Astyanax mexicanus: one gene and its partner. The protein of the gene in region 1 purifies or fractionates together with the protein of each later gene. This does not show direct contact. Links are inferred from orthologs where the notes say so. Each region holds a gene or a part of one and is shown in the gene's direction. Other genes may lie near its edges. The genes, in order: bach2b and mafk.

Region 1 (12,124 bases):
TTTATACTCAGCAAATTAAGTTCTAATACAGAAATCCTTAGAACCAAGCTGAGATGTTCAAAATAAAGTAAAATAAAAAGTTTTCTCTGTCCAATGTATCATGTATTCTTTAATCCAGTGCCCCACGTTGGCTTTATCTCTGCTCAAACATACAAGTATATACTAATATTTTAATTGACACAACTAATATAAATATAATTGCATTTTACATTTCTTACATTCGTTCTTTTATTTACATTTAAATATCCACTATAAAAACTTGCATTTGAAGAAAAACAAGTGTTAATAATCGCAGTTAATCACAGAATATTGTCGGGATTAAACGTATTCATTTTTTTACTCAGTTGACATCACTAGTTTACAGGAACAATGGTAATCGTTAACACCTTAATTGGTTATCATTCTTAGAACCAAATTTTTTTTTCTAAAAGTTAGGGAATTGCAACATTTAAAATTGGTAAATGCTTTACCGTCACAACTTTTTCAGGAATGTGTTGCAGGGCTGAAAAGCAGGAATTAATGTAAACTGTATTTATAGATGACATTTGAGCAGGCAAAACATAATTATTTGGATTTGTACTGTCTGTAGTAAAATAAAAGTCAATGTCAATGTAGGAAACATTGCATTTTGTAGTGTTTTGCCATTTTAATACTTTCACAACTTTAAAACCTTTCAAAATAATGTTTTGTATAATTTACAGAGTGAGAAATACAGTTTCCTCAAAGTTTACAGTTCACATGTAACTACTTCATAAGAAAATAGTGTGTAACTCATGATTCCTAACAGACAGCTTGATAAACTTTAAAGTTACTTTTTTCATACTTTTATGTGAATGAATATGAATTTGTATTTGAATGAATGACACAGCAGTCCCTTATTTTAGCACAGTGATGATTCCTCGATTCCTCAGCATTGAACTTAGGTTACCTTGATGTTGTGAGATAAAAAAAATAGAAAAGTGATGACTGGGTGATGTTTCACATTCACAAGTGCACAAGTTTCTACATGTCCTCTCACTCTGGGACATCCAGTCAGAGGGACACATTTAAAAGTTTTTTTTTTTCTTCTGGGTACATTAAAATTACCAGATTATTTCACATATCGCAGATACAAATCACATATATTTATGAATGATATAGTCTGATCTGAGCAAAAATCTCAATTTGTTTAATGAGGTTTGTAATGTGAATTTAGCCCAGAATTAATTAATTTAGACTGCAATGCATAATCAGTATATAATACCATATGAACATAAATCCAATAGGTATTTATAATATATCTATATATACACTTTTTATGAACAGAAACTTGGGCCAGATAAAAACAAATATTTTTAAGTTTAAAACTAGTTAATTTAATTACTGTAGAAATCTTAAATATTGTTTTTTTTCTGATCCTAAATGGCAAAAATAATTTTTAAATGTTAAAATAAACTGCCCATATAAGGACATTGTTTTTTTTTGGGGGGGGTGGGGGGGGGGGGGGCAAAACTACTTTGTGTACAAAGACAAAATTTAATTTTCTATACTTTTTAGGTCTTACTAATCCTAAACAGCTAGGATAAATTAAAATGCACACCAAGCAAAAATCCAATGAAAAATGTCAGATATCTGTGCATGGAGTTGTAGAGGTTCCTAATGGCGCCCTGTGATAATCAATATCAAGCAGCTTAAATATTCTCACACAGTTCCTGAAGATTTTACAGTATTTGTGAAGTTTAAGTAACTAAAATATTACAAATCTCAGGTTTAAGCTACACCAACTTCCAGTTTAACTCCAACAACACAGAATTGGACATGTTGTGTGAGCACTGATTCAGATCCAGGCATTGGCACTGTGTTACACATCTAGTATTTGAGGGTGTGTTGCACAAGTCTTTTAAGCAAGAGGTCAGTTGGCCAGTGATGTTCCTTGTGTGTGGAAGTGCATCTGTCTCTGTCTGTCTGACCTCTCTCTTTCTTTCTCTCTCTCTCTCTCTCTCTCTCTCTCTCTCTAAACCTCAGACACAGTGAATGCTGTTTGCATTACCCTTAATTACACTTCTTCACATAAAAATGCAAGTGTTTGTCCACCATGGTGGGCGGGAAACAACAGCACATGCACACGATGACCTGCCTTAACACACCCATGCTATTAGTGTAACAGTGCAGATGTTACAATATGATATTTTTTTTTATATATGATATATTTTTTTTCTAAAATTCTTCTTAGGGATTAATAAGTTATCTATCTGTCTGCCTAATTCTATCTATCTATCTATCTATCTATCTATCTATATATATATATATATATATATATATATATATATATATATATATATATATATATATATATATATATATTTATCTATCTATGCAACATTAATGCAGAAAAGAGCATTAAAGTGGACATGAAACATTTTAGTTTGTAAAGATTTTCTATGGGATTAAATTTATGTGGGGGGAAATTTTATATAGAAAATGTTTACACACTAAAATATAATATATTATGTTTGTTACTACCCTAAACATTAGTGTTAGCATTTGATTTTTGTTTGGTGTGCATTTTCATTTCTCATAGTTATTTAGGATTAGTAGGACCTAAAAAGTATAAAAACTAAACTTTGTATTTTGCCGAAAAAAAACAAAAACAAAAAAAACAATGTCCTCATATGGGGACAGCAGTTTATTTTAACATTTAAAAATTATTCTTGCCATTGTCACGTGGTCCCTGTCTGTTCTCGTGTTTCTGTGTTTATTTACCTTTTCTGTGCCTGTCTCTGCTTGTGACTGTGAGTGTGTCTCCCACGTGATCCGTGTTCCTCAGTGTTTCTTGCCCTCACCTGTGTTCATTTGTAACTCCGCCCCTTAGCCCCAGGTGTTTTCTGTTTCCCGTGTGTGTTACACTATTTATAGTCCGTGCTCCCTTTCCCTCGTGTCGGTTCTTGTGCTTTGTTAGCCTGTTATGGTTGCGTCTCTGTTTCCCATATTTCTTGTTTTCAGTTTAGTTTCAGTTTATTTGTTTATTTTTGTCTTTTGTTATTTGTGTAATAAATTCACTCGCATTTGCATCCGCTCTCCTCGTCCTTCCTGCCCGCACCCTGACAGCCATTTAGGATCGGAAGAACCAAATTAATAAAAAAGATACATTTTAGCTTTCTACAGTAAGTAGATAAACTAGTTTCAAACATAGAAATATTACATTTTTTATCTGGCCCATGTTCTATCCATAAAAATGTGTATATGTACATATATTATAAATATCTATTGGATTTATGTTTATATGGTATTATATGTTACAATTATATGTTAGACATACATATTTAATCCATATATACAAGTTTATTAAAATGCATACAGCTGTGGGCGGAGTTATAGCCCCATAATGCGTTGGATGGATGCACTACGATGTTCCAAGTGTTCTGTATAGTCTAGAGCAATTGCTATGGTTCTTTGTCTCATAACTATAGTTGCTCTCTTTTGTATATATTTAAAAAAATTAAAACCTTAACAGTGTATTTTGTAAAAAAAATAAAATAAATAAATAAATAAATAAATAAATAAAGGTGCCGAAACTGTCTTTTATTTTACTGCAAGTTTGGTTCACTTTAATGGACAGTTATTAAGTATGGTTGAGATCAAGGGTTAAAATGTGGCTCCTCTGGGAACTAGAAATGAATATGTATAGCACAGTACTCTCCTTATGTTTTTTTCCCACTGTCTCTCTCTCTTTCTTTCTCTCTCTCTCTCTTTCTCACACACACATGTATGGATCTGTTTTTGTCCTCCGGCCCTCCAGTCTCTCCGGGCCCCTGACAGAATTCCCTGAAGGAAAGGTCAGAGAGTGCAGGAATGCCACTTCAACTGTCCATCTATGTGTATGTGTGTTGGGTTTGGAATATGGGGTGTGTGCAGTGCGGTAAAAGTGTGTAAGTGGTTGCTGCTTATGCACACAGTGTTTTTCTTCTAAATCACAAAAAGGTAATAATAAAATGACCTCCATTAAGATTAAAAATTAAAACATTAAAAATGTCCCTTTTTAGAAAGACTAATACATTCCACCTCCAGTACATGCAAAGTCAGCAACCGTCTCTTTTTGAAATATCACTAGGTAGTCAGAACCTTCAGTAGAAAGCACCAGATCCCCAGCTTTAATACACTAGCCATCAGATGCCTGTGCCAGCCAGCATCACACTGGAAGTAATGAGGGGAGAGAGCTCCCAGAGCACCATGACTCGAACATTGCGATCAAATTAAATGAAATCTAGGCCATAATTTAGCCAGCCACTATCAACTTTATGTTCAGTGATGGCAGGAACAAGAAACCTGAACTCCAGGTTCTGTTCAGTCGTCAGATTTATTACCATTTTAGCCTTTATGTGACCAGCTGGAACACCAGCATTGGCAACTAGCAAGTGTAGAGCAGGGTCTACAGGGCCAGCTGCAACATCTGCGGGCAAGAGTGCTGCACAATGCCATATATAATCTGTATGTCTCTATGCCCAATTATATCTTATCTAGTGCTTTTCCACCAAAAGAACCGTGGTGCTTTTCAGCGAACCAGCCTTAGTGCTCCACCAGTTTTAGTGGAACCATCAAAACGTCACAACATACGTTCACAACAGAGGGTGTTGCACAGCGGCGGTGAACAGAAGCAGTCACGATTCGCACTGAAGAACCTAGTATTACTGATTCCTGCTAAAAATTAATGTTCCTGGTTCTGGAATCTACTTTTGTTGGTGAAAATGCAGCAAAACAGTTAAAAATTAGGTTTGTAGCCAAAACGGTTCTACGTTGGTGGAAAATTGCTTATCTTGTTTCCAGCTTAGAGGCACCAAAACGTGTACTAATAGCTTTTAAAATTGTACATTTTCCATACTTTTCCCCGTATCCTTGTGCTTGTGTTTGTAAATATCATTATTACATTCAACTATCAATTGTTTTGTCAATAAGTGTTCTACACTGTTCCAAGAAGGCTTTGCACTAGATTTTTGAACACTGCTTTAAAGCATTTGATTGCATTGAGCCAATAGATCTTAAGTGAAGTCAAGTATTGATTTTACATTAGTTCTTGATCACAGATGCCACTCCAACTCCTGCTAAGGGAACTCAATGGAGCTCTGTCGCTTCAGATAATACAGTTTCACTGTTCCACAGAACAAGGCTGGAGGCATTTAACCCTCTAGCCCTTGCACAGCATTGGTCATTGTGTGGTTGGGCTCCTCCAGAGTGCCCCATTCTATTGACAGCACCCTATGAAGATTAAATAAGATGTTAAATTTTGCATTTGAACAATATCTGAACTCATTAGAAGGGGTGTCTGGATCCTTTGGGTATTAATTAGTAGAATTTAGATTTAAACAGTTAACCATAAATAGAAAATAACTTTCCACTCAATATCACACTTTTCAGAATAGCAGAATAAGTCATACCTCTTAACAGTAAGAGGACACTTTAGCTCAGAAAAGCACACTCTCTCACACACACATACACTCCTGTATGAATGCTCCAAGTGCAGACTCTGTGCAGACTCCCCAGGGGAAGAGCTCTCCCCTCTAAATGAAACTCTTCCCACCCAGAGCGGCTGTGCTGTGTGGGCTGCTTCAGAACAAAGCCAGGCTGTGTTGAGAAGACTGTACTCAGACACACAGACCCACACATATGTACCTCCTCTATCACATTGTTTTTCTTCATTGTTGTAAAAAGAACAGATGAACATTAGTAAACATTATGGTTTTAAATGCGTAGTACTGTATATTTGTAAGTCTGATCAATCTGACCACACTAGACAACTAGTATGATCAAGCTTAACAATACTAGTTAAACAGCCTGGCCTGCATCACCAAGCTGGTTGACCAACAAAATCAAACTGGTTGACCAGTATGACCAACATGACCAAGCTTTTTAACCAGCTTGACCTCCATGGCCAAGCATGACCAAAATCAAATGCAATATATACTCTATATACTCCTAAGTGGTCTAGCGTTCTAGCATATAATATGTTTTCACCTAGGTGACCAGCATAGACTATCTGAAACCAGCTACCAACGAAAGTTGGTCTGGGGCTAGATTCTGCAGCAGGTCAATTTTAAATATAATAATAAAAACAGCTGTAATTTCCATATAAATCACAGTAACAATTATAGTCAGTATAACTAGTAATCAGAACTAAAATAAACATTTTAATTGATTAATATTGTTTTTATCCACTGTTGTAACAACCCATCATTTATTGTTGTTATTTACAGTCAAAAACAGCTAACAATTTAGAAATTAAATAAGGACAGCCATAATGTTCAAATAAAAAATATTAAATTTATTCTTTATAACAATAATCACAGTCAATATAACTGTAATTGATAATAGATAAAATAATAATAATAATAATAATAATAATAATAATAATAATAATAATACTTTGATATTGTTTTTATTAAAAATAATTACAAATAATTATGGTGGTGTCCTGTTATATAGTACAGTACCGTATACTATTCCTAGCATTTAAATAATAACAATTATGATAAAATAAGTATGCTTATGTATGAATTATTTGTTTATTTCAAATATCAATTATTATTTTGTATTATTATTTTTACTTTTTCATTGTACTATACGAATAGTAAATGTTGTGTTACTGTATGATATAGTTATTTTCGTATAATATGGTAATATTATACAAACAATGTTTGTATGGATTTTATGCTTATTTTTTAAAATGCAAATTGTTATTATTATTATTATTATTATTATTATTATTATTATTATTACTAGGGTAATCTGTGAGTCTGACAGGGGTAGTAAGTTAACGTCAGCGCTGCTCCGTAACGCTGATTCTCTAAGCGGGTTTGCGCGCGCGTGTTGTCTCGCTGGTTTTGGCGCGCCCCCCGGGTCGTGTCGCTGTAGTGAACTGAACTGTCGATTCAGAAAAACACGCCGCGTCCTCCTCACTCCGCTGTGCGCGCGCACCGGCCCACCGGCCACATGTTTATGTGTTTATTTATTTATTTATTCGGTGAATTGTTTGTTTATATTGGGGGGGGGGGGGGGGGGCTGGCGCAGGCGCGCGCGCGCTGCTTTATTGTGTGTATGTGTGTGAATGAGGGCAGGGGGAGGTGACGTCATTTGGCGAATGTCAACAACGGTAGCGGAGTGAGAGAGAGAGAGAGAGAGAGAGAGAGAGCAGGGGAGGCGTAGAGCTTCAGTACCAAACACAGGAGACGAGGAGCTGCACGCTGAACGGAATCACCGCGCGCGCGCACACACACACGCACACACGCGCGCGCACTCGTATGCACACTCACATACACACACTCTTGCACATCAACAGAGAGATTCACAAAAACGCGCGCGCGTGCACGCTGAGGGGTCTTCTGTTCCCAAACTTGACTCTGCGAAGAGAGAGATAGAGAGAGAAAGAGTGCAGGCTTTGATCTTCCTGCACGAGGAGGCTTTAGAGGAGTCTGCAAGGAAGTCATCATGTGAAAGACATTGATTTTTTTTGAAGCACGCGCACGAACGGGCTGGATTACGAGAGAAAAACAGAGGGAAGTTGAAGGTAAGTGGACTCGACTGGCGTGTTCTGTCTCTGTCTTTTTTGTTTGTGGTTCTGCACTTCACTCAGCTCGAGCTCTAGTCGCTGCTTATATCGCCTCGTGCAGAAATGCAGTTAGAAACTCGTGCTTTTTGCAGGAGAGAGAGAGAGTAGGATAGAGAGTAAGTGAGAGAAAGAGAGGAGGGGGTGGTCGAGTTTCGGAGTAGAGCGAAGGGAACCGTGTCTTCATGCATTGCACTGACCACCCTGACCAAGCACGGTGCACGTGAACGAGGAGCGCGCGCCGTGGGACGTGGCCGCATCCTGTTGTGCTGAGCTCGAGCGGCCGGCTGCCTGTTTTTGAGCAGGAGTTGGATGCGTTGCCATCCCGGAGGAGGAGGAGGAGGAAGGGTGGAGGGGTTTGAGGGGCTTTAGGAGGAGGGGTGGGGGTGGTGGGGGTGTCAGGCATGGCCCTTGTTTTCGTGAAGGGAACAGAAGCTGTCACTCGCGGAAGCCTTGACCGACCAAGTGGCACACACACAGAGACGGACCAACCCCCCCACTCCCTTTCTTCGGGGGTCTAGTTCACCCTTTTCCGGCTTATTATTATCATCATCATTTATTTATTATTTTTAAAATGTTTTTTTAATAATAAGTATTTTAAAGAAAAGTAATATCATGTATTATTATTATTATTATTATTATTAATTGTATTATTATTATTATTATTATTATTATTATTATTATTATTATTATTATTATTATTATTGTTATTATAACCACAACCCTTACTGGTGTTACTATTGATAACTTGCTATTATTATAACCACTACTTCTACAGTTATTTTTTGTCTGAACCTTCTCCTACTACTAGTACTGCTATTAGTAATAGTAATAGTAGTACTCTTCTTCATCATCTTCTTTTTATTATTATTATTATTACTACCACGTGCATTACTGTTACTATTGTTATCATTAATAGCCTGCTACTATAGCCAATACTGCTACTATTGTATTGATATTGTCACGAAACCTACTGTATTATATCATTATTATTATTTTTATTATTACCATTACCATTATTGATGATTCTATTGATAACCTGCTATTATAACCACTACTGCTACTGTTATTTTCTCTGAAGCTGCTATTACTACTAGTGTTACTATTATTAGTAGTAGTATTAGTAGTGGTAATATTTTGGATCTTCTTTTTCTTATTATTGTTACTACTGCCACGTGCATTACTATTACTATTCTTATTAGTAATAGCCTGCTACTATTCATCTTATTTTCACGAAACTTAATATATATATATATATTTTTTATTATTATTATTGTTATTACTATTATTATTGCCACTAGTATTGTTACAGTCAGTAACTCAGTCAGTTAAGTCAGTTACTACTGCTGCTGTTATTGTAGCGCTGCTGTTTAACTGTTTTATTATCATCATCATTAATGATAATGAGGGCTGCTGTATTCTGTGCACATGGAGGGATCAGCCCGTCGTGTCACTTTTGTTTTCGCAAGAGTATCCCAGTGAAAAGCAGCAGCAGCAGTCCTGTGCTGTGGGAATGTGCTTATCCTGCTGCTGCAGAAAAGCAGCTCTCCGCCGGCTGGCTTTGTTCTGCCATCCACACACACACACACGCTCTCCAACCCGGAGCCACCGCATTACAACACCCCCCCCCCCCCCCGCCCCCTCCCCCCCCCCTCCATTAATCCACACAAATATCAGCAGAAATATCTGCTGTGTAAGGGGGGCTGCAGCAGCAGCCCTGCTGCCCGAGGGTGCCATTTAAAGCAGCAGAGTCCGCTTTTCCACACTCTCGGTCTCTCTATAGAAATGTTACTCACACCAAACAAACATTGAAAACACCGAAATCAGTATCGCATGTTTCCTGATAACTGAGGCGTGGAATCTGAGCTGAATGATCACTGACTGGAGATCAGTTTAGGAATAGGTTGCGCTGGAGTTGTGGGAGTCAGCGTGGACTGGAGCGTGGACTTGGTTGTAAACAAACAAGTCATCTTATTATCATAGTGGTCAAATTAAACCTTCGACTTTCAGATGACGTGTCGTTTTAATTCGGTTTCATTGATGAAAGCGCTTCGTCTCTCTGTAAATACAGCGCCGGTGTGTTGTCGAGTTGTGCTACCTTGTCAAACCGTGCTACCCTAGTGTATTTAAAGGTAAAAAGAAATACTATATCCTAATAATATTTTCGAATAGTCTCGCTGTAAAAGTGTCGATTTGATATTGGAATAGCCTAAATCGTTGTATCAGAGTAGAATTAAGGCAATACATGTAATTGGAAGCCATTCTATAGTTATTTTTGTTATGTTTATATTAGCATAATTATTACTTTACACGGTTGTAAAAAATATCTCACTCAAGCAAAAAAAGGCAGTGATCTCAGATTGTATAATGCACCCAAAACACGTGAAAATAGTAATAAAAATGAGAATTAGCGCATGCGCCGAGCTGCTAAGTAACACAAATCGATGGGTAGCACAAATCGACAGAACACCCCCCGTTGTGTTTTTGGCTGCTGGCTGTGAGAGCCGTGAGCTCGCTGGTTATGAATGACTTGGCTTTGTCTTCAGCTGGGAGGATGTATGAATGTAACATTAGCCCGCGTTAGCCTTTAGTTATCACACACACACGCGCGCGCGCTCCCGTAAGCTTCAGGAGCATCTGCTATGCTAATACAATGCTCGCTAGCGATCTTCTTGTCGCGATTTGATCCGATTAAGCGCGAGCCCGTGTTTGAACAGTCTGGGGGAAACACGTTTCTACGAGAGCTGTTTGGTGCTGTAAGAAATTCTGCTCCCATCCAAAACTGTGCACCCCCCTCCCCCTCCCCCTCCTCCTTCTCCTCCCTCACCAATGCGGTGATGCAGCATTTTACGCTGCCTTGTTGTTTCCACCCCGCCACCACCTGTTTTCCGCAGAGGCCCCGCCCACTACGTGCCCCAATTGGCTAATGTCCGGTACTCTTGGTACTTTCGAGCGCTCGTATTTGCATACAGCGCTGTGATTGGCCGAAATCACTGCCATCCCTCCAATCGAAGCCCAGGTGGCGGGATTTGTCTGAAAACAGGTGGAGAAAAAAGATACAGCGCGTTCCAGCCTGCATTCCTTTGTCTGCTCAGCGCAGAGAGACGGAACTCAATCCCCGTTATGTTTTATTTTTCATAAATTCACCAACACACAGTTATATATCCTATAATAGGAGGAGTATCTTAGAATTATACAATAAAACTGCTTAATTTGTTCTATAAAGAGGTTTTATGAACGTTTTAATGTAAACGTTTTGTGGGTGAGTCTTATGTTCATACTTTGGCGTCAGGTTTATTGTTCATGAACCGATGAACCTTTAGATACACGTGTATCTGTGGAAGTGTAAAAAAAAAAGATTTTATTACAAATCATTTTGGAGCATTTCATCATATTGGTCCATTCTTCATGAAATATACATTGATGAGAACAGCTGTCCGACTGTAAAAAAGAAAAAAAAGTAAAAAAGTAAAATACAGCAAAAACTGAGTTTTTCCACAACAGTGTTTTACCTCATTTATTTCATTCACATGTAATAAAACTGCACATAACCTGTTTTTTACCTCCTTTATTTCTTTATTGTAAGTGCCTGTATGTCCCATATGTCCTATATCCTACATTATGTTTCATCACAGACTGGCAGGTGCCTACCTAGGGAGAGCTTACTGTCATTACACAGAGCATTTATTTATTTTTTTGCCTTTCCACTGTCCATCTGTGTAAAGGAGCTAAGAGTGTGTTTGCTTTTGTGCTATTCTTTGTGCAATCTGTAACCAGCGCTCAACAACTGATAATTGATATTCATGTTATAAATGCAAACATCTATAAAAATATATAAAAATATATATATTAAGGTATTGCAAGGAAAGTGGACATTGTTTAGATTTAGAACACACTGTACTGTTTGCCTCCGTCTGACAGCTGATGTTTGAATTTCCGTACAGTGAATGACTGCATGTAGGAGAGCAGTGGTGTGAGTTCCACGTCGACAGTGCTCAGTGCTTGTGTCTTATCTTTAGTTCCATCTCCACGTTGCATGTTAGATTCACACAAAAAATAATGCATATTTTAATGAAGCTTGTTTTTGCACCGGACAGTGCGGTGGTAAAGTTCAGAGGAGTGTGGTGCAGCTGTAAATGCTAGCTAAAGGCATGGTTTTTGTCCTGTCCTGCTTGTTTGAATAAGCCCACCAGCGCTCTTTCAGAACACAAGCCTAGGGTATGAAAACATGTTCCCATAGCCATCCCACGTCAGCACAATGGCATGTTTGACTGAGCTCCAGATTTTGACAGAGAGAGAGGGAGCGAGAGTGTGTGTGCTGTGTGTGCGCTGTGTGTGCGAAGCTCCTGAAGTTCAGACAGGGCTTTTGTTGTTCCTCTCTTACGTTGTGTTAGGATGACACTCATGCCCATTGGCATCATCAGTCACCACTCGGAACCAGACGCTATTATCACTGCCAGGACCAGCTGTGTGTGCAGTGCCCTGCGCCGCACACACTTGCACACATTTAGTGTTTATTTATATACAATGATAGTAAAAATGTATCCC
Region 2 (12,547 bases), on another chromosome or scaffold:
CTATTTTGGCCATTTTTTTTTTTAAATCAGATTTGATTCACTTCCATATGTGTTCCTAAATCGAATACGCACCGGATCCATGAACATGCGACATGAATGTGAATGGTCAAATTGGAATTCATGTGTTTTTTTTTGTTGTTTTTTTGCTTTTACGCATTAGCATTAGCGCTAGGTGCTTCTCTCCCATACCCACACATCTCTTGGTGCAGCTGTGCAGCTATAGCTTGAAAAAAAAAACAGCAAAAGCAAACCGCTTGACCTTTTTTCACGTCCTCACCACCTTACTCTCCACTCCAGCAAAAGATGCTCCACATATGAGCTGCTAACAAACGCATCCATTTCCCTTTATAAAGCTACAAGTCGTCTCTCAAATATGAGTTTTTTTGTTTGTTGGTGAAGAAGGTGTCGTTTATACACATATCAATGTGCCACCTGTGGCATTTAAGGGATTCAGATTCGTTCACATTACACATAGAAACAGGTCACTTCACTTATATTTGTGAATGTGAATGTGTCAATATAGCCAAATCTGATTTTAAAAAAAAAATCGGATTTGACCAATGTGGCTTTAACTAATGTGTATGTAGCATTAACCGTAGCAATTTAGCATGCACAATTCATCTAGGATTTAAAGACGTTGACTTATGGATGTATGGATGCATGTTGGCTGTATATGAGGACTAAAACCCAAGTCTGGGTTTGCCGGTTTCCAGAAGAACAGTACTTGCCAGACTGCATTGTGCCAACTGTAAAGTTTGGTTGAGGGGGGATAATGGTGCGCTGTGGACTGCTGTGGTTTCAGGCAGCAGTAGGTTTCAGGATTAGTAATGCAGTTTCAGGGTTTGGGAATGACAGACAGTTAGAGAATAAACAGAATAGCAATACTGAAACCTTACTCACTAGCTGATAAATAAAGCACTTAACATTTTATAGGCAAGTCTGCGGTCGTCCCTGCAACAATGTCAGGCAGTTATCTCCAGTCATATGAGACAAGCCTCCTATCTAGTTTGGGGCACACCAAAATACTAGGAACTGCTGGGAAACATTTTGTAACTTTTGACTCAACAATTCACAAAAAACACAATGTTTCAGCTTGTTTTGGCTACTGCACAAAAAGAGTTAAAACACACTCCCTTGATCTTGAGATTGATATTGTGTTTATCGCACAGTTACTTATCATAAAAGCACATGATGAACCAAACAGTGCAAAACCTGAAACCGATGTGAATTAGCTTAGGTACTTAAACATTCCCACAACACAACACCCAACATCCAAAACCATACATACCAACATTTCTTATTTTTCACTCTATAAGGCGCATCAGATTATAAGGCGCACTATTAATTGCAATGTCTATTTTCTGGTCTATTTTCAAACATAAGGCACACCAGATTATAAGTAACTAGTAAAAATATAGTAACTAGTAGTAGGAACGGAGTGTCACCAAGTTTTTCATCCAATTCAGCTGGTTTTGCTAGCGGTTAGTGGCTAATGCCACCCGACAGAGCTACACTGAGGAACCCACTGAGTGTTTTCCAGTAAGCCAGGGCATTATCAGCTAGCGGTTCATCCCACGTAGCTTGTTTTAACATGGTAAACACGCAGGCTTCCATCAGATATACTCGCATTTGAACAGCCAAAGAGTGCTTAGCGTGGTTAGCAGCTTAGGCTAATGCTGCTCCAACAGTGCTAGCCAGGGTTAGCAGCAGGGTACAGGCCAATAATACTCACCTCTGGACAGCCAAAGAGGTAGTACATAGCGTGCTTAGCGGCTAATGCTAATACTGCTGGAGAACTAAACTGAAACTCCTGCATATCACTGTACTTCAGTGGAGTGGCTTTACTGCTTCTTAATACCTGACTGGTAGAATTCATACATAATGTTTATAAGGATTATAATGATTTTAAGTGTGCCTATAGTGCGAAAAATACATTACTCTTATTATATTCAGAACATTAATTACAGATAAAACTTGCAATGTACCATGGGATAGGAAGCACTGTGCTTTGCTGGCCCTCCTACCGGCGCCCTTCGCCCACCAGGAGTGCCTGTAAACTCAAGCTGTAGTCTGTCTTAGAGAATAAACTCAGAAAATATTTTTCTCACACTTCAGGTTATACAACTCCAGAAATGTTCTGTGCAAAATTTGATATGGTTAATTTATCCCTTTCAACTATTCCAAAGCTGCATTTTCTGTTGATACCAATCAGGTTACCTGGTTTAGCTGTATGCTAATGCATTTTCTAGGCCCGAACAAGAAAACTCCTATTTCAGAAAAGTTCCAGAAGCTTCCTGCTGAACTGTTCTCTCTCTCAGACCCATATCTGCAAGTGTTTCCGATCATTCTGCAGCATAAAGCCACCCAAAATGCTAGCATGATTGCTCATCAGATTACTCCGCCAACCAGCTCTCCACATAGGATGTGCATGAAGCAACCCAGCACACCAGCGAGAGATTGGATCCATATGTCTCCTCGGAGGAGAATGCACGTGTGTTGAGTCACTCAGTGGCAGGACTGTTCAGCAGGAGAAGAGTATGAGCCAGCGGACTTGGCATGATGCCCTCAGCCACAGAGGATCCAGCGTACACTTACTCAGTTCCTCTGGAGGGAAGTGAGATGGCAGTTTGGTATATATTTGCTAATGGGTTCAGATCCAGGATTTGCTTGAGGAAATGTATTGCTTTAACCCTATAAGGGGTCAGGAGCCTCATTCAGTTCATAATGTATAAAAATCCTAGTGTGTAATAAGGATGTAATAAGAATACTACAGTTAAATAAAAGAGTGTAAATATAAATAAGTATATTTGCTTGTAAGTTATATTAAATGTCATGACTATTTGTAAGATACACCATGTAGAACTCTTTATACATTCAGCTCTGGAAAATGATGAGTTTCTTTGATTTTACCAAATTGAAAACCTCTGGAATATAATCAAGAGGAAGATTGATGTTCACAAGCCATCAAACCAAGCTGAACTGCTTGAATTTTTGCACCAGAAGTAAAGGCATAAAGTTATCCAAAAGCAGTGTGTAAGACTGATGGAGGAGAACATGCCAAAATGCATAAAACTGTTGATTTCTGAACTCTTAAAACTTGATAAATACGAACTTGTTTTCTTTGCATTATTTGAGGCCTGAAAGCTCTGCATCTTTTTTGTTATTTCAGCCATTTTTCTGCAAATAAATGTTCTAAATGACAATCAGTATTTGGTGGGATAACCCTGGTTTTTAATCACAATTTTCATGCATCTTGGCATCATGTTCTCCTCCACCAGTCTTACACACTGCTTTTTGATAACTTTATGCATTTACTCCTAGTGCAAAAATTCAAGCAGTTCAGTTTGGTTTGATGGTTTGTGATCATCCATCTTCCTCTTGATTATATTCCAGAGGTTTTCAATTTGGCAAAATCAAAGAAATCCATAATTTTTAAGTGGTCTCTTATTTTTTTTTCCATAGCTATATTTTATTACATGGTTTTTCAAGCATTTCAATTGATCCACTCACCATGAAATGATGACAAAATGTAAAGATAAGCTACAACCTTTACATTATACCAAAAGGTCATGAGTATAATGACATAAGGATCATAACTTTATAAGGACATACATTTATATATAGCACTTTAATGCCATAAACAACACTATGTAAACAGTGCAGATAGACTTTGGTGGTTTGCTGATGTTAGACATAGTTACAGGCTGGATTCCCCTGCCTTGTAATACGCAGCTGGTTGGAACTGTGGAATGCAGAGGCCTCAGAAATATGGCAAGCATTTCCAACAGCCATGTTATTACAGCCCTGATGCTGGTAACTACAGACAGAGGGAGCTGTTGCCTCCCTTTTTCTTTCCACTCAAACATCAGACCACACACTGCTACTATCGGTACACACACTACAGAGTGGAGCTTGGGAGTTGAGTAAGATGTGAGGACTGGAGAACTTGGCACTTTTAAGACATATAACTATCAGTAATGATTTAGACAAAGCAGAGACAGAGCAGTTTAGACGTTAATGAATCAGCCTATATGCTCATGTGTGGGTTTCAGGTGGGCATGGACTCTGAAAGAAGGGTTTGTAAGTGTGATCCTACTGGAACCTAGTTGGGCTTCCCATTGGACCCCATCATTGGACCCCACCTTAATCTTATATGGGTCCATCTAAGCCCACATGCAGTGTACAACCCAGTTGAGGCCAATGGCTGGTCTAATCATTGACCCTTGTGGGCATCTATCTATATGTGGGGCAAACATGGAACTTGTGGACTAAATTCAAAGGCCCATTACATTACATTTGGCAGATGCTTTTGTCCAAAGCGACTTACAATAATTATGTACATTTAGTAATAAATGACATAGAAGTTCAAGGTAACAAAGAAAAATTAAGACCGGGCATAAAGAAGGCCAAATGGAAATACTGTGATAGAGGAGGGAAGGAGGGGAAGAAATGAATTAAAGAAATTGCCCCCCAGATGCTTTAAACTTTGTTCCATCACAACGAAGCATTTTGTCTTGTATCATCAAATAGACTGGTCCCACTTTAAAATAATACTACCTTTATAAAGGGTTTATAAATGGTTTACTAATAGTTTATAAACAGTTACTTCTTAGGTTGTAAGTGCCTTAAAATCATTAATAATCAGTAATAACACATACGTCGAAGGGCCAACAAAATAGATAGCTGTGGGTTCACTATTTAACAAACAACAGGTCATTGTTGCCCTTTCTATGTATGTGTTATAACTGATTATTAATGATTTTAAGGCATTTACAAACTAATTAGTAACCATCAATAAACTAATTGTAAACCATTTATAAACCCTTTATAAAGGTAGTCTTATTTTAAAGTGGTACCAATAGACTTTATCCCATTGTGAGGGCTCCTATTCGGCACCGCATAATATTTAATCCACTGGTGTGGCACCTAGGAAAACCCTATTCAGGGCAGCATCCCATTGTCATCCTATTTTCTGTACCATTTTCTACTGAAAGGGCAGAAGGAAACGCATAGATGGGTATTATTAAGACACATTATTAAAATGTCTTGATGCTTTCCACCTTCATGATGCTGCACAGCCGCCGGTGGTTAAATCGCCTACACCCTCAGTTGATCAGACCATTTGATTATACTCCTTTATAATAATGGCATTATGCCTAAAATGTTACAATTTTAATAACTTTTCAACATGAACCTTCACTGAACTAATCTCCACGATTCCTGACTCATCGCCAATTGGTAAGTGATGAGAATTTTACTATAATATGAAGTTTACGTCTTATTAATAAAGGCTATAGACTATAAATTTAAATTTTTTAAAGTTTTTTTCATTATTTAAAATGTTCTGCATTGTAGATTAATACTAATATCATCCAAACTATGAAGAAAAACATATGGAATTATTATTTAGCAAACATTATTTTTCCCATTTTCTCCCCAATTTTGCACAGCCAATTACCCATCCCATTTATTAGGACTCCTGCTATCACTAGTAATGCCCCAACTCACCAGGAGGGTAAAGACCAGCACATGCCTCCTCCCATACGTGTGAAGTCAGCCACCGCTTCTTTTCGAGCTGCTGCTGATGCAGCATTACCGAGTAGCACCACAGCACGCTCGGAGAAAAGCGCAGCAACTAGGTTCCGCTACATCAGCTCACAGACGCCCTGTGCTGCAGACATCACCGTTTTAGTGATGCGGGGAGAGAGCGCCATCTACTCACCCGGGGGGAAGCAAGGCCAATTGTGCTCCCTCTGAGCGCTGGCAGCTTGATGGCAAAAACAAAAGAAGTGTTAAACAAACCAGAATATGTTTTATATTATAGATTCTCATTTTCTCAATCAGCTGTGCAGAACTTGTCAAGAGTTAATCACTTGAATTTCTTGTCTCTTAATGTGTTTGAGAGCATTAGTTGTAAAGTTGTGAAGAGATAGAGTTACAGGTATACAGTGAATAACCCTATTTGAGTGTATATGTTCTAATCCATACTATGGCTGGAACTAAAGTACTCTCAAGTAAATTTGTACAGACCAAAGTTAAATAAATGTAATGATGGAAGTGGCACTCATCAGGACCGCCCTGGGAGAAAGTTTTCTATATGAATCCTTATGTGTTTCTACATAGTTTTCTGTGCTTTTTATTATTATAAGTCTTATTATAAGCTATGTAATTATTATAAGCTATGTAATCTCATTGGTCAGCTCTCTCTATCTCTCCCGCTCTCTCTCTGAAAGAATTCACCAGCTGCGTCTATTTCTGGCCTCCCCTCGCCGTCGTCCGTTTTTTTCCCGCCTGTCTGACGTCAGCAGAAAGTTATTTTCATGAATGGAGGGGGCGGTCACGAGGAGCTGGTGACGCGCGTGCTTGCGGAAGCGCGGAGTGGAATGTTGGTTACACTGTTGTTGTTTTTGTAGTTTAGCGTTGTGTAGTTGGCGGCTCCGTTTCTCGGCTCGGCTGCGGGACACACGCTCGGAGCCCCCAGGTCCGCGACCGGCCACGGAGACGCGCGCCTGCTGCTGCTGGATAATAAAAAAACCCGGTGTTTGGGAGTGCGCGCTCCCGGCGAGGAATTCCGCGCTCACGAGGTAAGAGGCGGTGAACGCGCGTTGCCCGCACGAGCTCGGGGACACGCTTTAAAAATTCCTGCTGGAATCGCGGAGGAATCTGCGCCTTATTACTAGATGCGTGCGATCCAGGTTCAGAAAGTGGAAGATTCGCTTCGGGGTTTCGTTTCGACCGCCTGGGCGACTGCGCTGTAGCTCGGCTGCAGCGGAGCCGCCCAGGCGGTCGAAACGAAATCACGGTGCGAATCATACACTTTCTGAACCTGGATTACCAACATATAACTAATACAGCGCAAAACAGCTGTATTAACCTTTTATAAAGTATCCCACACCTTTATATATTGTTTTTATTCCTTTTATCATCACTTCCAACATTTTAACACGGGTATATTTAGATTTATTATAGGTTTATAGCTGTTATATTAGTATAAAACTAACTAACAACAATAATAAGGTATTATAATAGTAATGTGGACACGTGCGTCTGTGTGTGTGTGTGTGTGGTGTGTGTATGTGTGTAAACGACAAGCAAGCAATAAAACAAGCAAGCAAAGCGTTATACAGACTAGCATATATAGTTTACTTTTGTTTTTATTTTTTACTTTATTAAATAAAAAAAAGGTTTTAGGTTTTAATGTCTTCTTGACATCATGATTATGGAGCTAATACAATTTTTAATATAGTGTTTTCTTGTTTAAAAAAATACACAATTTAATCTAGTGTCATGTTTGAGCATGTTTTGACTCAATGTACTTCGCATTTACTGGTTAAAATTCTTTATGTAGTCTAAAATAAGGTTGTAATTGAGTGTTTATCACGATGTTGACCTGTTTTATCATGCGTTTACTGTTTAAAATCCGTACTTAGTCAAAAAAAGAGAGGTCGTAGTTCGATTAGTATCCCACGTGTAAGCACTATGTTGACGTAATGGAGTATTTATTTTGTATTTATTTCAGTGTACCGATTGTAATTCGTTTTTTAAGTGTGTATTTATCCTAATATAAAGTTGTAATGGACTTATATTATAGCACGATTATGACATTTAAGCATGATTTCTATAAATATAGTTTACACGTTCTTATTTGTATTATTTAATCGTAAGTTTACATTTAAGCAAGTTTTTTGGCTTTAAAATTCATTTTAGTCTAATTGGAGGTCGTAATTTGTTATTATCTCATATTTGATCACGATTTTAGATGTTGCATAGTTGCATTTTATTGTTTGTAGTTTGTATTACTGTATTTATTATTAATATTGTATTATTTATTCGTTATCTCACTTTTTAAGCATGGTTTTGACGTGATGTGAGGCGATTTTCTTGTTAAAATATAAAAAGTAGCCTACTATAAGGTTGTTTTTAAGTGTTTTGACAGTTATCTAAAATTGTAGCATGATTCCGACGTCAAATAATATGTATTTCTCTTTAAAATCCACATTTACTCTAATTGGAGGTCGTAATTTATTGTTATCTCATATTTGATCGCGATTTTAGATGTTGCATAGTTTGCATTTTCTTGTTTGGAGTTTGTATTATTGTATTTACTGTATTTGTTATGAGTATTGTATTATTTAATCGTTATATCACCTTTTGAGCATGTTTTTGACGTGATGTAAGTTGTGTTTTCTTCTTAAAATGTGTATTTAGCCTAATATAAGGTTCTAATTGACTGTTTTGGCAGTTATCTCGTATTATAGCACGTCATATTTTGATATTTCTCTTTAGAATTCATATTTAGTCTTAATAAAAGCTCGTAATATATTGTTTAATTGTTTTTTTTTATCTCTTTTAAACACGTTTTTGACCTAACATTTTAGCTGCGTGTTTTTGTTATTTATCTCTTTTATACGTAACTATTCTCTGTAACGTTAAGTAAATTACTTATCTAACGTTACGACATGAGGAGAAACAGAGCACGTGGTGTGTGTCCTGTAGGATTTGTGGGACAAAGGGCGCTGTGGTCAGCTCCTGATCTTACCCCGCTCCTCCGGGCACATCTAACATCACACAGTGTGACACATTAAAGCGCGCGCTAGCGCGAGGTAAACACCGCGTTATTCCTCCACGCTGTTTGCGTAGCTACGCTGCGCTGCGCTCTGTAGTGGCCAGACGCTGGGCAGAGTTCAGGGTGACGTCATGCCAGAGATGTGGGAGTGAGCGCGTGTTTTTCGCTCGCTTACGAAAAAAAAGGTCATTAACGCAGCCCCGCGTTTCCCAAAGCTATCACAGGGAAACGTTAGAACAGCGCCTTTAAGAAGAAGAGGCTTCCAGGAAGGGTTAGTAAATCTGTAAAGCTACAGAAATAACGTTCCAGGAATGCTTTGAAGTCGTGTGACGTAATAGTAAAAGTGTCCATCACTTTCCAACATTGTTAGAACGTTTCCCACACAAAAGCGTCCCAATACAATGTAATAAATGTGGCATTAACACAGTCATATAAACCCTGTTTATAAAAAAAAAAAAAAAAAAAAATATATATATATATATATATATATATATATATATATATATATATATATATATATATATATATATATATATATATATATATAACTTGTTATCTTCCGTTATTTTTTGAAATATGCGTATGAAATCTGAAAAGAAATAAGACCATTCTGAACATCTGGAAAATACAAATGTAACTTTTTTGTTATAACATTTAGTAAATCATTGTAGAGTGAGGCAGAGCAAGGTAGAATGAAGTAGAAAGAGGTAGAATGAGGTAGAGTGAGGTACAATAAAGTAGAGAGAGGTAGAGTGAGGTAATAATGAAAGAGAGGCAGAATAAAGTAGAGAGAGGTAGAGTGAGGTAGAAATAAGTTGATTCACAAACTGAAAGTTTTTAGCCATAACGTTTAGAAAGACATTTGGACAGGGAACAATGTGTGAGGAATGTTGTAATAACATTTTAATAACATTCAATAACATTTTATAGCATGATGCAGACCATTAATTATTACAATTAATTATTACATCACACTTTTTTAAAGAAAATTCCTGGAACATTATTTCTATAACATTTCAGTCTAACCTTAACAGAACTTTTTAAACACATCGCTGAACATTCTAGTGCTAAGCAATATTACCTCAAATTATTCTTACCATTATTTAATTGCATAAGAAAAATTAATGCGATTGGAGGTTGGCCAGTTATGACAATTGTATTAATGACTAGAAGTACAATATATTAAAATTACCTCAATCATTTTTCCTGATCTCGATATTACTGATTATGTTTTTCTACCTGACTCTACCTCACTTTACCTACTCTGCCTAACTCTACCTTAAACTGCATCACTCTGAAGATCACTTTGCCTCATTCTACCTCACTCTGCATCACTTTACCTTGCTCTTTTTCCCTCTTTCTTACTCCACTTTGTTCTGCCTCACGCTACCTGTAACTGCCTAATTTTACACCTCACTTTGTCTGCCTCAAACTTTGCCTGCCTCTTTCTCCTTCCTTTACTTTGCCTCATTCTACCTTGCTCTACCTCACTGTACTTAACTCTCTGCCTTATTCTGCCTTGCTGTACCTCAAACTGCCTCAATCTGCATCACTTCACCCCACTCTTTCTCATTCTCCTTACTCTACTTTGCCTCATTCTACCTTGCTCTACCTCACTGTACTTCACTCTGCCTCATTTTGCCTTGCTGTACCTCAAACTGCCTCAATCTGCATCACTTCACCCCACTCTCTCATTCCCCTATACTTTACTTTGCCTCATTCTACCTTACTCTACCTCACTGTACTTTACTCTGCCTCATTCTACCTTGCTCTGCCTCAAACTGCATCACTTTACCCCACTCTTTCTCATTCTCCTTACTCTACTTTGCTCTAAGTCTTGCTACCTGCTCTACCTCAATCCACTTTGCTCTGCCTCTGCTCTACTCCTCACTCTACTCCTAATTATACCTCACTCTGACTTCATTCTACTTTGCTCTATATTAAACTGCCTCAATCTGCATCGCACTACACCTCGCTCTACCTCACTTTACTTTGCTCTGCCTCACTCTTTTACACTACCCTAATGTACCTTGCTCCGCCTTGCTCAGCCTCACTCTACCTCCAGCCTCGTTATGTCACATGAACACAGTCTGCCGCCTGTAGAGCTCCCTCTGTTGCTGCATGTGGATAAACACAGTTTGAGGTTGCTGTTATTCATGACGATATCACAGCTTGTTTGATTTAATTAATTATTCATAAAAAAACTCATATCACGGAAGCAGTATTATTAAAATACTAGTTATATTATAGCCACAGTAGGGAATTGGAGGGTTTGACCTTTTTGCATTAATTGTTTAGTCTAACCCATAACATTCTCTGTAAATTGTGCTATTAATATCAGTATTAATATTATTAATACTGTATTAATATGGTGCTGTTTCTGTTCTATATGTGTCCCCTTATTTTACTGTATCTCATTGAGCCCTGCTAGAATGTTCCTGAGTGTGCAGTCAGTTAATCTGCAGACTGTTCACATTCAGGAACATTGGACAATAGTCCATTTTGTGGGGTGGCGAGAGTACTAGAGCTACGCCCTCGTAGGAAAAGTGAGTCATGAGTGGATAATGTGATTCATTTCCACATGTGATTATATTAAAAAAAGGAGAGTTGTCATTAGAACCTTCAAAGGGAGTTCTTTCTTTCTGTTACTCTCTAATGCCGAGTGTCAGGAACAGACTGGGTATGTTATGTCTGAAACATGATCATTTATGGAGAATTTAAAAAGGGTCACTATTCACTTGCATTCACTTACATTCAGTGGAGGGCTGCTCTTCTCTCCAGCTTTGGTGTTTAGTCAGTATCGTAATACTTTGGCTTTGGCTCTTGAGGTAAAATCATTGCACTGAGACTCTCGGCGTAAGTTCTCTACGAGTTCTGCTGCTATGAATTAGGAGCTCTACCTCCTATGAGACCCTGATGTAATGCTGTCTGCTGGCCTGGCCTGTGTAGCAGTGATGGTAGTGATAGCAGTGATGAGCTTTAGCAATGATGACTTCATTAATTTTTCCACACAAACACTAAAAGGAAACAGTTGCGGGGCTGAGATTACGCTCACGACTTGACATTAGGCACCTATGAGTAACAAAATACTTAAAAGCTGACACATAATCTCATTGATATGATGCTGATATGTAATTTAAAAAAGTTAAATAAAGCTTAAGAATTCAAGCATTTTAAATATATATATATATATATATATATATATATATATATATATATATATATATATATATATATATATTCTTGATTCTAGAAACATCTAACAAATGGTTCTAAGTTCTAATCAAGAATTAGCAGCTAAAATAATAATGCCTCTGATATTACGCAGGTAGTGAGAGGTAAAGTGATTTAGAGTAAGGTAGAATGAAGCAGAGTGAGGTGGATAGAGGCAGAAAGAGGGAGAGCGAAGTAGAAAGATTGAGATAGACAGAGGCAGAGTGAGGTAAAGAGAGGTAGACTTAGGTAGAATGAAGTAGAGAGAGGTGGAGAGAGGCAGAGAGAGGTAGACAGGCAGAGTAAGGGAGAGTGAGATAGACAGAGGCAGAGCAAAGCAAAGTGGTAGATGAAGGCAGAAGGAGGTAGAAGGAGGTAGATAGAGTCAATACGAGGTAGACAGAGGTAGAGCAAGGTAGAGAGAGGCGACAACAGGTAGAGTAAGGTAGAATGAAGTAGCGAGAGGTGGAGAGAGGCAGAGCGAGGAAGAGTGAGGTAGAATGAAGAAGAGAGAAACAGAATATAGTAGAGTGAGGTGGAGAGAGAGGTAGAACAAGGTAGACAGGCAGAGAGAGGTAGACAGTAGCAAAGTGAGGTAGATAGAGGCAGCGAGAGGTAGAATGAAGTAGAGAGAGGCAGAACAAGATAGAGAGAGGTGCAAAAGGTAGAGTAGAAGGAAGTATAGAGAGATAGAGAGAGGCAGAGCAAGGATAAGTGAGGTAGAATGAAGTTGAGTGAGGTAGAAAGAGGCAGCAAAAGGTAGAATAA

What was found.
Region 2: the proteins of bach2b (region 1) and mafk purify together in Homo sapiens (co-immunoprecipitation; 3 studies listed by BioGRID and IntAct, with this or other methods). This does not show direct contact. The link is inferred for Astyanax mexicanus from reciprocal best matches to the Homo sapiens genes BACH2 and MAFK.

The regions. Positions count from the first base shown.
Region 1 is NC_064408.1:47,687,617-47,699,740, reverse strand, and holds the start of bach2b (transcription regulator protein BACH2), read left to right. Parts: upstream 1-7,173; 5' UTR 7,174-7,537; intron 7,538-12,124. UniProt on the Homo sapiens protein: Transcriptional regulator that acts as a repressor or activator. Binds to Maf recognition elements (MARE). Plays an important role in coordinating transcription activation and repression by MAFK.
Region 2 is NC_064410.1:57,362,411-57,374,957, reverse strand, and holds the start of mafk (transcription factor MafK), read left to right. Parts: upstream 1-6,363; 5' UTR 6,364-6,584; intron 6,585-12,547. UniProt on the Homo sapiens protein: Since they lack a putative transactivation domain, the small Mafs behave as transcriptional repressors when they dimerize among themselves.